4 linked regions of the Oryctolagus cuniculus genome follow. The protein of the gene in region 3 purifies or fractionates together with the protein of the main gene of each other region. This does not show direct contact. Links are inferred from orthologs where the notes say so. Each region holds a gene or a part of one and is shown on either strand. Other genes may lie near its edges.

Region 1 (3,647 bases), on a different chromosome or scaffold from region 3:
CCTGGTTGCCCCTCTTCCAGGCCATTGGAGGGTGAACCAACAGCAAAAGGAAGACCTTCTCTCTGTCTCTCTCTCTCTCACTGTCCACTCTGCCTGTCCAAAAAAAAAAAAAGAGTCAAAAAGTAGGCACGGAATATTATGACTACTCTGTTGTGATGAATGGTCATGATGATGATGACTTTGCTGTGTCATTAAGGAAGATTAAGTTACATTTCATGGCATCTGGTGATGGCAGGTCACAGTGTAATATAATATGGCTTTTTAAAGCCTATGTTCCCATTATCTTGAAGCCAGTTTATATGAAAGGAAACCATTCCTGGATGGGATCACAAAAGTGAGACATTACTGTCTGATTTTTTTTCTCTTTAGCAGTGTGTTTTATGAAATGGCATACTGATGCTTAATGTAGCTAATGGATATGATAAACTTTTTTCCTATTTAGTTTATCTACTTCATTTGATGGGCTATTAAACACTAGATTATATATATATATGTATGTATGTGTGTGTGTGTGTGTATATATATATATTTAAGATTGCACCATAGTCCTTGCATTATTGTTTTTTCTTTTTAAGAAAATACTTGGAGGCTGGCACAGTAGGCTCAGCTTCCACCTGCGGCACCAGCATCCCATATGGGCACTGGTTCTAATCCTGGCTGCTCCTCTTCCAATCCAGCTCCCTGCTTATGGCCTGAGAAAGCAGTGGAAGATGGCCATACCTCTAAAATAAATAAATAAAATCTTAAAAAAAGAAAAAAGAAATAAAATACCTGGGCTTGATGTTGTAGCGTAATGGTAAAGCTGCCGCCTGCAATACCAGCATCCTGGTTGCTCCACTTCCAATCCAGCTCACTGCTAATGGCCTGGGAAAGAAGCAGAAGGTGGCCCAAGTGCTTGGGCCCCTGCACCTATGTGGGAGACCCAGTTGAAGCTCCAGGTTCCTGGCTTCAGCTTGGCCACCCCTGGCTGTTGTGGCCATTTGGGGAATGAACCAAGGGATAGAAGATCTTTCTCTCTACTTCCCCCCACCCTGTAGTTCTGTCTTTCAGAGCAATAAAGAAATATTTTTAAAAAATTACTTACTAAATAACATTTGGGTGGGCAAGCATAATATATTCATCTGTCTCACAAAAGTTAATTCATTCGTGAGTCCACTGTCGTGGCATAGCAAGGTTAAGCCTCCACCTCTGCCACTGACATCACATAAGGACACTGGTTCAAGACCTGGCTGTTCCACTTCCTATCCAGCTCCCTGCTAATGTGCCTGGGAAAAGCAGTGGAGAATGGCCTAATTGCTTGGGCCCCTGCACCCACATGGGAGACTCAGATGAAGCTCCTGGCTCCAGTCTGGCCTAGTCCCGGCCATTGCAGCCATTTTGGGAATGAACCATCAGATGGAAGATCTTACTCTATCTCTTTCTGACTCTGACTCTGCCTTTCAAATAAATAAAAAATAAATCTTAAATAAGTTAATACATTCATATACTCAGCAAAGCATTGTAAATATATTATTGTGTTCTTAGCATCTATGTTGCTGTCTTTTGGTTTGTAAAATCCAATGGAATAATCTATAACTGATGATTTTCAAGAATTCATGAAGTATTTAAAGGTGCCTGACTTCATGCAGGGTTTGGGAGTGAGGGGCAGGCAGCAGCTAGTGGACATGGTTTGGGTGAGCATTGTGTGTACTGCTTTCTCGCCATGCTTGTGTGTACTGTGTTGTTCATCAGCTTCTAGACCTTGCAGTTTGTTGAAGGAACTGTTGAATGTGGTAGTCTTTAAGGCAAAAGATGACTTTTGCCAAATCCTTTTTTGTGGTCTGCACTAACTGGGTCGAAACTTAGAAATTCTGCTCTATGATTGCTCTAAAGGAAATTATATGACTGTATCTGAAGATGTTATTTGAGTCTACTTGAGCTGAGTGTTACACTGTGTATTAGACCAAAACATTGAACACTTCAGTGATGGAATTTAAAGTAAATGTTTTTTATTTGCCTTTCAGCCTGTTGCATGATGATGCAGCTATTTCAAATCACATACGCTATTTCTGTTCTCTTAATGTATGTATTGTACTTTGTATATTGCTTTACTGAAAATTATCTTCATATGTAGGTTGAGATTACACCTTGGAATTATAATCAAGGAAATACAGAAATGTAGACAAAATTCTGTTTTTCTTCCTTTATAGACATATGGGCGATAGGTTGCATATTTGCTGAATTGTTGACTTCAGAACCTATTTTTCACTGTCGCCAGGAAGATATTAAAACAAGCAATCCCTTTCATCACGATCAACTAGATCGGATATTTAGTGTCATGGGATTTCCTGCAGGTAATTTATTTTCCTTTTCAAAATCACGTTTTGAGTCATATTTCAAAAACATCCTAAGTATATTTTAAAACTAAAATAATTAGTTTCCTCTAACAATATTCAATATTTTTTTGTAAGATAAAGACTGGGAAGATATTAGGAAGATGCCAGAATACCCTACACTTCAAAAAGACTTTAGAAGAACAACGTAAGTAATTCCACATTGTCTTAGTCTCTTTGGGCTGCCATAAAAATAACATTAGACTGGGTAATTTATAAATAGCTGAAATCATTTCTCACAGTTCTGGAGGCTGGTAAGCGGGGGCTCAAGGCTCCAGCAGCTTCAGTGTCTGGTGAGGGCTGCTGTCTGCTTCCAAGTTGACACCTTGTTCCTAAACTTCCCTGCTGCAGGCAGAAGGGCAAAAGCAACAGATACTGTGTGCAGCCTCTCCTGTTTTTTTGTTTTGTTTTGTTGTTGTTATTGTTGTTTTGACAGGCAGAGTTACAGAGAGAGAGAAAGGTCTTCCTTCTTGGTTCACCTCTCAAATGGCCGCTATGGCCGGCGCTCTGCGCTGACCTGAAGCCAGGAGCCAGGTGCTTCCTCCTGGTCTCCCATGCTGGTGCAGAGCCCAAGCAGAGAGCTGGACTGGAAGAGGAGCAACCAGGACAGAACCAGCGCCCCAACCGGGACTAGAACCCAGGGTGCCGGTGCCGCAGGCGGAGGATTAGCCTAGTAAGCCACAGTACCGGCCTGCCTCTCCTGTTTAAAACAAAGAGAAACCAGCCAATCCCATTCCTGAGTGACCTGATCACCTACCTGAGCTCTGCCTTCTAATAGTATTGCATTGCGTGTTAAGTTTCACTTTGGCTTTTGGAAGTGACACAAACAACCCATAGTATGTGTTAATTATAGGTAGGAACCTCCATGGGAATATCTACATCTTTTTAAAATCCAAATGTAGGGGTGGGCAATTGACTTGGCACTTCGGACACTGGTTATGATGTGCACCGCTAGATCAGTTCAGTTGCTGGTTCTGGCTCCTGACTCCAGCTTTCTGCCAATACGGATGCTGGGAAGCAACAGGTGATGGTTCAAGTAGTTGGGTCCATACCACCCATGTGGGAGACCTGGTTTGAGCTTTGTCCTGGTCATGCTCTGACTTTTGTAGACATTGAATGAACCAGCAGCAAGTGTCTCTTTCTCTCAAATAAATTTTTAAAAAGGAGATGTAGATTATGATTTAAACCAGAAATTAGATTCTAGTGGTATCTTAGTTATGCCTAGGATTTCAAGATTCCAGCTACTGTTAACATATATGCCAGGTTTAGGCTATA
Region 2 (4,212 bases), on a different chromosome or scaffold from region 3:
TATTCATGAAGCAGCTGCCTTTGCTGACGTTTACCAGGATGAGTATTAAACAGATGCGTATTTTTGTGGCAATGTTGGGCTTCCTGAAAGCAGCCCAGGCAGGATTTTTCTGACATATGCTTGCAGCATTACAAAACTTTACTCTTTGTCACTAATTATATGAACTATTTATAGGGCAAATTGTCAATACCCAGTATTTGCTCATGCATCTAACATTTTCAATTTGTGGGTTTTTTTGTTTGTTTTTTAGCCATATCTATTTATACCTGATTTTTTTTTTCTTTTTAAAGGACGTTCTCATTATGATGCCAATGACAAATTCGGGGCTTGTGATCAAACACGCTGGGAGGGGAAAAAAAATGACGCACGTTGCCATGGGGATATTATTGATGACTATTAGATTGCTTCTCAAATTCTGAATAGAAAGCCACGTTAACATTTTGAATCATAAAGTTACAAAACTAGCAGAAGCCTGAGGAACCTGGCTGAGACCATAGGTTTGGCGTTAGGCAAACTGGGTGACCCTAGACCCACACCCATTGTTAAGTCTCAGTTACTTTGTCTTTAAAATGGGGATGCTTTGGAGTTGGCGTCCTAGCGCTGTGGGTTAGGCCAGAGCTTGGGACACCTGCCACCCACACTAGAGAGTTGTTTCAGGTCCCGGCTGCTCTGCGTCCCATCCAGCTCTCTGCGGGACACCTGCCCCCCACACTAGAGAATTGTTTCAGGTCCCGGCTGCTCTGCCCAGCTCCCTGCTAATGAGCCTGGGAGGCAGCAGATGATGGCCCAGGTGCTTGGGCCCCTGCCACCCACGTGGGAGTCCTGGATGGAGTACCTAGCTCCTGGCTTCAGCCTGGCCCAGCCACAGTTGTTGGAGGCATTGGGAGAGAGAAGTATCCGAGAAAAGATTTCCGCGTGTCTATCACTTTGCCTTTCAAATAAAAATAAATTTAAAAATGTTGAACAGTTGTTTTAAAAAAATAAAATAGCGGGTCGAAGCCATGGTGCTGTGGGTTAAGTCGCGGCCTGCAGCGCCGGCATCCCATATGGGCGCCAGTCTGAGACTCGGCTGCTCCACTTCCCACCCAGCTCTCTGCTAAAGGCCTGGGAAAAGCAGCAGCAGATGGCCCAAGTACTTGGGCCCCTGCACCCGCGTGAAAACCCTGAACGAAGCTCCTGGCTCCTGGGTTGGCCCTGGCCCAGCCCTGGCCGTTGAGGTCACTTGAGCTAAATCGCCTGTTTCTGACTAATTTACTTAACTAGACTCGCAACCAAATCCAGCCTACACCAGCCCGCCCACCGCATGTCGCCTAGCAACAGCCTCCTCCCCTCACGCCTGCGCTTTTACCCCGCCCCCTGCTCAGTGCGCATGCTCAGATCCGTGCGTCCGGCCCCGCCCCTGCGAGGCGCTCAGCAGTGACGTGTAGAGTCCGCGACGCTCCCGGCGAGCCGAGCCGGTGAAGTGGGGGAGTTGGCTCGCTGGACCGAGCCCCGGGGCCATGGCCTCGGCCGGGGTGGCCGCTGGGCGACAGGCCGAGGATGCGTTACCGCCACCGGCCGACCCGCCGCTGACCGAGACCAAGCCGTTGCCGCCGCCGCAGCTGCCGCCACCGGTGGCCGCGCCCCAGCCGCAGCAGTCGCCGGCGCCCCGGCCCCAGAGCCCCGCCAGCATGAAGGAGGAGGAGAACTACTCCTTCCTGCCGTTGGTTCACAACATCATCAAATGGTAAGGAAGGGCCCCGGAAGAGGGGGCCCCGCCGCCGCCGCTGGCGCTGGCGCTAGGAGGCTGCAAGGGTGCGTCCCCATTTCTCGGGCGGGCAGGCCGAGGCCAGGGGGTGGGCAGGGGCCTCTCCCGAGAGCTCGCGGCGCCTGTCCGGGCGCATGGGGGCGCCGGGGGGCGCCGTGCTCTATGCGGGGGACACTTGCTCCGAGCTGGCCGGCACAGGTGGCCGGGGGCCTCGGGAGCCTGGGCAGCGTCCCTGAGGCTCCGTAGGGTTAAGACGCGCTCTGGTTTTCTCCTCGTCTTCAGCACATCCCGCAGAGAAACATCGTCGGGACTGCATAGCGTTCTGCTAGGCGTTACGGGGTGCGCACGGTAAAAGGGGCCGACTGCGGGCCGGCCTTGTGGCGTAGCAGGTAAAGCCGTCGCCTGTAGCGCCAGCATCCCGAATGTCTCCAGTTCGAGTCCCGGCTGCTCCACTTCTGGTCCAGCTCTCTGCTGTGGCCTGGGAAAGCAGTGGATGATGGCCCAAGTCCTTGGGCCCCTGCACCCACGCGGGAGACCTGGAAGAAGCTCCTGGCTCCTGGCTTTGTTCGGGCTATTTAGGGAGTGAACCAGTAGATAGAAGATCTCTCTCTGTTACCCATAATTATGTTACCCATAATTCATACAGATTGAGCCTGCAGGGCTGAGATGGCCTGCAGAGACACAGAAATCGCCTCCACCGGGCCTGGACTAACTTGATCCCAGCCTACCTTGAAAGGATATGGCCGTGCTGTTGGCCAGCCCTCAGGGGAGCCCAAGCTTTCGGACAGACAGGCTCTGGAAAGGAAAAAACAAAAACAGACAAGAAACCAAAGTCCCCCCCGTTCCACGCTTGCCTGAGTGAGTACGCCGCTGGCGCTGACGTCACGGAGTGGTGCCTGGGAGAGTGAGGAGGTGCAGCCGAGGCATCGGCCGCTTGCTGCAGGCAGACACGTCCCAACGGGACATGCGTGGTGTTTGGCCTTTCGTGGAAGTAGGAGGAGTACGTTCTGAAACAGCAGTGAGAGGTATAGGACAGCCAATACGAGGATTGTTTTGAAAGTTCACGGAAAAGTGCGTATTATGGAAAGATGTGTATGGGTTTCATTTTATTTTTCAGGGATTGGTTTTACTTATTTGAAAGGCAAAGTGATAGGGAGGCAGAGAGAGAGAGAGATCTTCCATCTGTTGGTTCACTGCCCAAATGGCCACAACGGCCGGCCTGGGCCAGGCTGAAGCCAGGAGCCTGGAACCCCATCCGGGTCTCCCACGTGGGCGACAGGGGCCCCAAGCACTTGGGCCATCCCGGCTGCTTTCCCAGGCGCATTATCAGGGAACTGAATTGGAAATGGAGCAGCGGGGACTTGAGTAGGTCCTCATGTGGGATGCCAGCATCAACGGCTTGTGCCACAATGCTGGCCCCTGAACCAAAATTTTAGTTCCATTTTTCCAGTAACTTTTTTTTTTTTAATTCATTTGAAAGGCAGAATTACAGAGAGGCAGAGAGAGAGAGAGAGAGAGCTTCCACCCAATGGTTCACTCCCCAAATGGCTGCAACAGCCGGAGCTGTGCCGATCTGAAGCCAGAAGCCAGGAGCTTCTTCTGGGTCTCCCAAGCAGGCAGGGGGCCAAGGACCTGGGCCATCTTCTACTGCTTTCCCAGGCCATGGCAGAGAGCTGGATCGGAAGTGGAGCAGCCGGGACTAGAACCAGCACCCATATGAAATGTCGGTACTGCAGGCGGTGGCTTTACCCACTACGCCATAGCGCCGGCCCCGCAGTAACTTTCTGAAGTTCCCTGTATGAGAACTGGCAGTGCAGTCGGTTTCTTTCCGTCGGAGTCACCACGAACAAGGTTGTTTTCAGCCCCGTTTTAATCTCATGCCACCATTCGTCGTGTGTGTAGTCTGTTGTTGGCTGACTCACGACTCAGTGCTAGATGTAAACCCCCAGGCTTGCCACTCGAGCTCAACCATTTAAAACCAAAGCAAGCTAAACTTGACACCACCACCATTGCGGGGGCGTTCAGGTTGAAGGTTGATGGGCTTGCCGATGCTGTGCTGAGATGGAGTCGCTGCTGACAACGTGGACTTTTTTTTTCTTTTAAAGATGTATTTATTTGGAAAGAGTTACAGGGTCCGATGTTACCTGCGGTGCTGCCTTCCCATATAGGCACCGGGTCGAGTCCTGGCTGCTCCACTTCGAATCCAGCTCCCTGCTAATGGCCTGGGAAAGGCAGCAGAAGATGGCTCAAGTGTTTGGACTCTGCTACCCGTGTGGGAGACCCAGAAGAAGCTCCTGGCTTTCACCTGCCCCAGCCCTAGCTGTTATGGCTGTTTGGGGACTGAACCAGCGGGTGCAAGATCTCTCGCTCTGTCTCTCCTCTCTAAGTTTGACTTTAATTAATGAATAAATCTTAAAAAATTTTTTTAAAAAAGGAGTTACAGTGAGAAGAAGAGACAGAGAGAT
Region 3 (4,318 bases):
GTCCCCCGCGTGTGGCTTGTGCTTTGGGGAATGGGAAGGGTTTAATAAATTTCTGGTGCTCTGGCCTTGGGCTGTGCAGATGCTTCTTTGGGGGGGGGCTGGGACCCCCCCCCCCCGGCCCAGCCCCTCTCAGCTGCCCGGGTTCCCGTGGACGGGGCATCAGCGGCTGGAGTGACTGCAGGTGGCCACAGACACCCCCGGCGGCCTCACTGCAGGGCTGGCTTTGGCTCCTTCCTCGTCTGAAAGTTGTATATTTATTATCATTTTACATGAAAGGCACAGTTACACGGGGCGGGGCGGGGGGATCTTCATCTAAGAACAGTGACGGCCAGGGCTGGCCCAGGCTGAAGCCAGGAGCCGGGAGCGCCACCCAGGTCTCCCCCGTGCGTGCAGGGGCCCTGGCACCTCTCCGTCACTGCCGCCTTCCCGGGCCGTTAGCAGGGAGCTGGGCTGGAAGGGGAGCAGCCGGGGTGCCCGGGGTGGCCACTCAGACCTCCAGGGACCGTCCGTGAAGCCCCCTGCCCAGTTCTCAGCCACGGCAGAGGGCCTGCTGGACCCAGGCGTAGCCCAGCAGCTGAGCCCCAGGGTAAAGCTCCTGACCTCGCTCCCTGCTATGCACACCTGGGAGGCGGCAGTGCCCGCTCGAGTGCTGGGGGCCCTGCACCCACGTGGGGAACCCGGGGCTCCTGCTTGGCCCAGCCCCGGAGTGAACCAGCCGATGGGAGATCTGTCCCCCTCTCCCCCTCTCCCCCTCCCCACGGCCCCTGCCTATCAAATAGGTAAGGGAAACAAAGTCACAGCGCTGCTGCGGGCAGAGCTGCGGCGACCGTGGCCCCGCCGGGCCCACCTGTGAGCCGTGGCGCTGCACCGCGGGAGCTCCGTGTCCCGGGGTGCGTCTGCTATGCTGTGGGTTCAGTGCCCTTTGGTCGCGGGCCGCCTTCTCACCTGCTCCGGTGTGTGCCAGAGGGCAGGAGCAGGGCGTGGGCTGCAGAGCGGACGGCGTAGACCCCCGGGACCCCGCGCTCACCGCCCAGTCACGCACACCCTGCGTGGGCATTCACGCGCGACGGCTGCGGCTCCACGCGGACCGGGCCGGCTCCTCCTGCACGCTGTTCGTGGAAAGGGGTAGCAAAATATGGAACGCTTCACGAATTTGCGTGTCATCCTTGCGCAGGGGCCATGCTAATCTTCTCTGTATCGTTCCAATTTTAGTATATGTGCTGCCGAAGCGAGCACGAACGACCGCTATCCTGGACAAGTATTTAAGGTGCCGAGAAATCTTGTCTTTACGATAAGGGTGAATTTTCTTGCGACAACTTTGTGGGGCACTCGTGCTCTTTACTGTGTTAGGACAGTATATGTTCTAATGAGGTGTAGTTTTTAATCGACGTTAGGGAAATATTTCTGTTTTATATGAGACACACGAACGGAGGCTGCCGGGAACCTAATAGGACTATGCAAATAAGCCCGGAAGCTGGGCGGAGCCGGAGCCGCCGCCGTCCCATGAGCCTGCGGGAAGCGGCGGCGCGGCTTGGGCGACTCGTTGGTCCGGGAAGATGGCGGCGCCGGAGCCGCGGCGTTAGGGCGAGTGCGGGCCGCAGCCGTGCCCTCGGCTCCACGCTCGGGCCAGCCAGGTGAGCGCGGGGCTCGTGGGAGGGCCCGGCGGCGGCGGCGGCGGCCAGCCGGCCTCGGGACGACGTCCGCGACCCCGGGGACAGCGGCGCGGGGAAGGCAGGGGCGGGGCCTCCGGGGTCAGGGGGCGGGCCCGAGCGCAAAGGCTTCTGGGCGCGCGGCCCGGCGCGACGTGGGGGAGCCCGGGCGCTGCGCGGAAATTGAGGCGAAGTCCGCGGCCGAAGCGGGGCGGCGGGACCGGGGGCGGAGCCTGAGGCGAGCTGGGGGCGGGGCTGCCTGGCTCGGGGGCGGGGCTGCCTGGCTCGGGGGCGGGGCCCGCAGACGGGGGGGGGGTCCCTGGGGTTGGGCCTGAGACCCTGGGGCTGGATGTCGGGACGGTCGCGGCGTGGGCTCGCGGGGTGCCGGGGCGGAGCTGAGGGGTCGGGGTGGGCGTGGGCTCGCGGGGTGCCTGGGGCGGAGCTGAGGGGTCGGGGTGGGCGTGGGCTCGCGGGGTGCCCGGGGCGGAGCTGAGGGGTCGGGGTGGGCGTGGGCTCGCGGGGTGCCTGGGGCGGAGCTGGGGGGTCGGGGTGGGGTGGGCGTGGGCTCGCGGGGTGCCTGGGGCGGAGCTGGGGGGTCGGGGTGGGGTGGGCTCGCGGGGTGCCTGGGGCGGAGCTGGGGGGTTGGGGTGGGCGTGGGCTCGCGGGGTGCCTGGGGCGGAGCTGGGGGGTCGGGGTGGGGTGGGCGTGGGCTCGCGGGGTGCCTGGGGCGGAGCTGGGGGGTCGGGGTGGGGTGGGCTCGCGGGGTGCCGGGGCGTGGGCTCGCGGGGTGCCGGGGCGGAGCTGAGGGGTCGGGGTGGGGTGGGCTCGCGGGTGCCTGGGGCGGAGCTGGGGGGTCGGGGTGGGGTGGGCTCGCGGGTGCCTGGGGCGGAGCTGGGGGGTCGGGGTGGGGTGGGCTAGGGTGGGCGTGGGCTCCCGGGGTGCCTGGGGCGGAGGGGTGGGCCCACGTCGATGGAGCCCCTTCTCTTTGGAGCCGCCAGGGGCGCCGGCGCTCGCCGCTGTGGTCACTCTGGGCCCTCCGCAGGCCCGGGCCCAGCCTGGGGGACCGCGCGGCCCTGGGCGCCCCCTGCCGCCCCATCCTCGCTCCCCGGACCAAGCACATCTGCGGGGTCCTGTGGAGACCTGGGGGTGCTGGCCCGCGCCCCAGCCGCCCGGCCCCTCCTGGAGTCCCCGTGTGGACGCCAGCGTCGCGGAGGACGGGCGTGGCCTCGTGTGTTTAAGCCCCCCTATGCCCCCCCCCAGCACTGGGCCGTGTCAGTGACGAGCCCCCCGGGCCTGCGGCGGGATGGACCTGGCCTACGTCTGTGAGTGGGAGAAATGGCCCAAGACCACGCACTGCCCCTCGGTGCCCCTGGCCTGCGCCTGGTCCTGCCGCAACCTCATCGCCTTCACCACAGACGTGCGGAACGAGGACCAGGGTGCGCCCCCCACTGCCCTCTCTCCCCGCATGTCCCCCACCTGTCCCCGCCCCCCGTGTCCCCGTCCTGCTCCCACCTGGCCCCGCCCCCCATGACCCCACCTGGCCCCGCCCCCCGTGTCCCCGCCCGGCCCCCACCTGTCCCCGCCCCCCGTGTCCCCGCCCGGCCCCCACCTGTCCCCGCCCCCGTGTCCCCGCCCGGCCCCCACCTGGCCCCGCCCCCCGTGTCCCCGTCCTGCCCCACCTGGCCCCGCCCCCCGTGTCCCCGTCCTGCCCCACCTGGCCCCGCCCCCCGTGTCCCCCATCCTGCCCCACCTGGCCCCGCCCCCCGTGTCCCCCATCCTGCCCCACCTGGCCCCGCCCCCCGTGTCCCCGCCCGGCTCCGCCCCTCACCTCCTCTGGAACTTGGGGCGTCCAGAGCCCCGGCCTCCCCGACGCTGGGGTCCGGCTCCACGTGGGGCTGGGGTCTTGCTGGCCCAGGCCCCGTCCCGGCCCCTGCTCTGCGTCAGTGGCCGTGCCGTCTGCCCTGCTGCCGGGTGACGCGTGCTCGGGGACCGCGGGCGCTGCTGCCCGGGCGTCGGCCCCTCTCACTCCATCTTCCCATCGCCCGGTCACTGGCCGCTCTGCCCGCCAGGGGGCAGCCTGTCCCTCACCATCGCCCTGGGGGTCCTCCACGGAGCCGCCTGGGGGTCACGGGACCCCTCGGGACTGTGTCCTTGTGCCCCCAGACCTGACCCGCACCATCCACATCCTGGACACGGAGCACCCGTGGGACGTGCACTCCATCAGCTCCGGCCACACCGAGGCCATCACCTGCCTGGAGTGGGACCAGTCAGGTGAGGGCGGGGGCGGGGCCTGGCTGCCCGAGGGGCGGAGTTACGGAGGGAGGGGGAGAGGGAGGGAGGGAGGGGGAGAGGGAGACAGGGAGGGGGGGGGTGGAGAGCGAGGGGGGGTGGTCTCCCGTCCCTGATCCACTCTGGCCAGGGCCAGACCAGTCCAGTCCAGAGCCGGGAGCCAGGCGCTTCCCCGGGGCCCCCACAGGGTGGCGCCCTCCCCAGCCTCTGTCCCAGAGCCCCCGCCGGGCCTCTGCTGCCCGCGCCAGAGCCCAGAGCCGGCGCTGCGGCGGGCGCCGGTCCCGCCTGGCCGGGTCCCCGGGCCTCTGCCCTGGCCCCCACGTCCCGCGACGTTGTCCCCGCAGGCTCCCGGCTCCTGTCGGCCGACGCCGACGGGCAGG
Region 4 (3,647 bases), on a different chromosome or scaffold from region 3:
TTTAAAAGATTTATTTATTTATTTGAAAGGTAGTTAGAGAGAGGCAGAGAGAGAGAGAGAGAAAGAGAGAGAGAGAGAGGTCTTCCATCCCCTGGTTCACTCTTCAAATGGTCTCAACAGCCAGAGCTGGGCCGATCCGAGGCCAGGAGCCTGAAGCTGCTTCTGGGAGTCCCATGCGGGTATAGAGGCTCAAGGACTTGGGCCATCTTCCACTGCTTTCCCAGGCCATAGCAGAGAATTGGATGGGAAGAGGAGCAGCCAGGACTCGAACCAGCGCCCATATGGGATGCCAGCACTGTAGGCAGCAGCTTTACCCTCAGTGCCACAGTGACAGCCACTAGGTATTCTTTGCTATACACTTTTTCCATGGAAAGTAAAACTCCTTACTTGTTAATCATTAATTATCCCTTCTATCCATGTTGTGTTCTGTGTATCAAAAGAAAATAGAAAGTAAAAGGACTAACCTAAAACATTAAAAAAAATTCACTTATGTTTTCATTATATCTGCTGATTTCAAGAATCTGCTTAAAATACACTTAGAAATATTGGTCTAGAGTCTGCTTTTTTCAATACTTAGTGCCAGCAATTATGCATGGTGGTATGTAAGGCAGAGTTGACTGCAACTGACTTAGAAATGTCCCTGCAATTTTTGTGTTTTAATTAAAATGAAGAAGCCTCTTGAGAGGGTAAGGTACATTCATTTATAAAACTGTACTTTGTTTTACTGGATTTCCTATAGAACTATATGTGGAACATTTTAATGGGTCTTTCCCCCCTCACTTGAATCTTTTTTTCCTAAAGATTTATTTGTTCATTTGAAATTCAAAGTTACAGAGAGAGAGAGAGATGCACACACAGAAAGAGAGATCTTCCATCTCTGGTTCATCCCCCAGATGGCCACAGCAACTAGAGCTTGGACAGGCCGAAGCCAGGAGCTTCATCTGGGTCACCCATATGGGTAGCAGGGGCCCGAGTACTTGGGCCATCTGCTGCTGCTTCCCAGGTGCATTAGCAGGGAGCTGGATCAAAAGTGGAGTAGTCAGGACTTGAACTGGTGTCTATGTGGAATGATGGCATCACAGGCAGTGGCTTATTTAACCCAGTGTCACACATGCTGGCCCCAAAGATTCTGTTCTTGAAAATTTTAACCAAATGAATGGAGGTCAAATATACTTCTAAAGTCAGTAAATTCTAATTATGCTTTAAAAAATAAAAATACAATGTTTCTATTTTGAACATTTATTTTCTGAGATGCTATCAAGTACTTTGGAAATGGAATTTCAGCTTCAGTTATTAGGAAGTTTTAAAGTTATTTATGTTATTCAGCAGAATGTGAAAAATTATGTTTTCAGTATCTGTAGAAATCCCCGAGTGTTTCTTTTTCTGTAAGGAAAATATTCAGATCTTCTTTCCTCTTTCCTTTTTTAAGCTTTGGGTGATTCTTTCTTTCTTTTTTTCAGCATATAATCAAGTTTCACAGAGCTTCAAAAGCAAACAAGAAGCCAGTTCAATTACCTCGGGGAATGGTGAAGTCACTATTATATCAGATCCTAGATGGGATTCATTACCTGCATGCTAACTGGGTGTTGCACAGGGATTTGGTAAGTCACTCTGTAGTTGAGTTTAAACCAGAAAGATGCATTTATGATTGGATGCTTTCTTAGTTGTGTTAGATTTCAGTGCTTCTTGTAGACCTGTTGACCTTAAAGAGGGAATAAAAGTGCAGTAGTCTCAAAACATGTCCTAACTTTGTGAGCTTGGATAACACAGCCTGATTTTCTGACATGTACTAGCTGGTGTGGCTTTCAGGGAGATAGAAGACACATTTGTTTTCCTAAGCTTTGGTTTCCCTTTTTAGTCCATAAGTAAGCATTGGCTTGTTTTACATTGATTCTTAGGTGGTAGGCAAACTCTGGAAATGAGTATGTTTATAATAACTTGAAATAAAACTTTTAGAGCCTACTACATACTAGTTACATACAATAAGTGGAAAATGTTAATTCTGTAGTTATCCACTACATTAACAGCAGTCTTTTGGCCCATAAGCCTTTATAATCATAATGAAGTATATTATTAGAAGCCTCGCTGTATTCAAGTGCATTAAATTTTTAGGAATTTAAAAATGCCAGAAATTGGCTCTCATTTTATCTTACAAAATACGCTTTTTTCATCCATCTAGCATGTTATTATTTATTAAATCTTAATAAATTTAAATTACTTAAACATGAAATTATTCTTTCTTTTGCATAATTACATTATGCTTTTGTAGTTCTGTTCCTAATAAGTGTAGTAACTATAGTAAGGCTTTTAATAGCATGTTCATTTAACAATTATAAACACAGTGCCAGAAATGATGATTTCTATCTGTAATCATGTGTGTACCTTGGAAAAACCCTGTAGACTCTGAGGTAGAGCTGATCTAGGCCCTTACACAAGGTGTCTTTTCCAAGCTGCTGTGTATTTGATGCATTCAGTCTCTGGCCTTTAAAGAAGCTATTTCAGTGGCAGTTTCTACTTCTTTCTTTCTTTTTTTTCTTTTAAGATTTATTTGTTCATCTGAAAGAATTACAGAGAGAGAAAGACATATCTTTCATCCACGGGTTCATTCCCCCAATGGCCACAACAGGTGGGGCTGAGCCAGGCTGAAGCCAGGAGCTTCATCTGAATCTCCCAAGTGGGTAGCAGAGGCCCAATTACTTGGGCCATGTCTGCTGCTTTCTCAGGTGCATTATAGGGAGCTGGATCAGAAGTGGAGCAGCCTGGACTCAAAACTGGCACCCTTATGGGATGCCAACATCACAGGCAGCAGCTTAATCCACTGAGCCACAAGACTGGCCCCTGCTCCTTTGATCTTGCTTCAAGAATTTGCTTTAATGTACATTTAATAGTAGTTATTCTGTGTCCAATCCTCATACCTACAGAGTGTTTATACTGGGACTAATAACACAGCAGGAAAATGGTTGAAATATTTTCCTTCCCCACACTCTGTTTTTAGTAGAATTAGACTGCACCAACAATGGATTTACAGAACACAAATAAGACAAATCCTTTGGCTTTTAATGAAGCTGAAAAAAATTTTGGCCTTTAGGGGTAGAGTTACATTATGGAAAAACACTTTTGAGCTACTGATTTTTTTTTTTTTTTTTTGATTTCTAAAAGAATAAAACTTTGCTAAAGATTATTTGTCCTCATAGAGTCACTTATGCCAGATAGCTCTACATTTTCTTTTTCTTTCAAAATTAAAAACAATTGTATATGTTCTTAAGGTACATATAGACTGATTTTTTAGACCAGTTAATTTTATGTAATTTGAACCACTTACATTAGTATTAACTACGGTAGTGAAAATAATTATGAAGTTGATTTCTTTTATCTCTTTTGGTAAAGGTCTTTGTATCGATATAGATTAAACAGATTGTCTTTCACACAGGGAAAGACAATATGGAAGATATCAATTTAGAAATCTCTGTTGTATATGTATTAAGAAAAGAGTACTTGGGAATCAATGTACCCTAAGCTTAGGCAAAGGAATGCAGTATCAGCATTTTAAAAATTTTTTAAAAAATTAAAAAAAAATTTAAAAATAATAAAACGTATTAGAAGTTGTTGCTTCCTATTGTCACCATGTGTTGGCAGTCCTGAAGAGT

The links.
Region 1: the proteins of MED16 (region 3) and CDK19 purify together in Homo sapiens (affinity purification with mass spectrometry; 6 studies listed by BioGRID and IntAct, counting the BioPlex papers as one, with this or other methods). This does not show direct contact. The link is inferred for Oryctolagus cuniculus from reciprocal best matches to the Homo sapiens genes MED16 and CDK19.
Region 2: the proteins of MED16 (region 3) and MED9 purify together in Homo sapiens (affinity purification with mass spectrometry; 5 studies listed by BioGRID and IntAct, with this or other methods). This does not show direct contact. The link is inferred for Oryctolagus cuniculus from reciprocal best matches to the Homo sapiens genes MED16 and MED9.
Region 4: the proteins of MED16 (region 3) and CDK8 purify together in Homo sapiens (affinity purification with mass spectrometry; 10 studies listed by BioGRID and IntAct, counting the BioPlex papers as one, with this or other methods). This does not show direct contact. The link is inferred for Oryctolagus cuniculus from reciprocal best matches to the Homo sapiens genes MED16 and CDK8.

What each region holds. Positions count from the first base shown.
Region 1 is NC_091436.1:60,950,262-60,953,908, forward strand, and holds part of CDK19 (cyclin-dependent kinase 19), read left to right. Parts: intron 1-2,189; coding exon 2,190-2,333; intron 2,334-2,450; coding exon 2,451-2,520; intron 2,521-3,647.
Region 2 is NC_091448.1:66,357,059-66,361,270, forward strand, and holds the start of MED9 (mediator of RNA polymerase II transcription subunit 9), read left to right. Parts: upstream 1-1,408; 5' UTR 1,409-1,499; coding exon 1,500-1,726; intron 1,727-4,212.
Region 3 is NC_091447.1:58,476,217-58,480,534, reverse strand, and holds the start of MED16 (mediator of RNA polymerase II transcription subunit 16), read left to right. Parts: upstream 1-1,477; 5' UTR 1,478-1,634; intron 1,635-2,909; 5' UTR 2,910-2,952; coding exon 2,953-3,085; intron 3,086-3,812; coding exon 3,813-3,920; intron 3,921-4,282; coding exon 4,283-4,318. UniProt on the Homo sapiens protein: Component of the Mediator complex, a coactivator involved in the regulated transcription of nearly all RNA polymerase II-dependent genes.
Region 4 is NC_091440.1:96,647,377-96,651,023, forward strand, and holds part of CDK8 (cyclin-dependent kinase 8), read left to right. Parts: intron 1-228; exon of another isoform or gene 229-341; intron 342-1,460; coding exon 1,461-1,601; intron 1,602-3,647.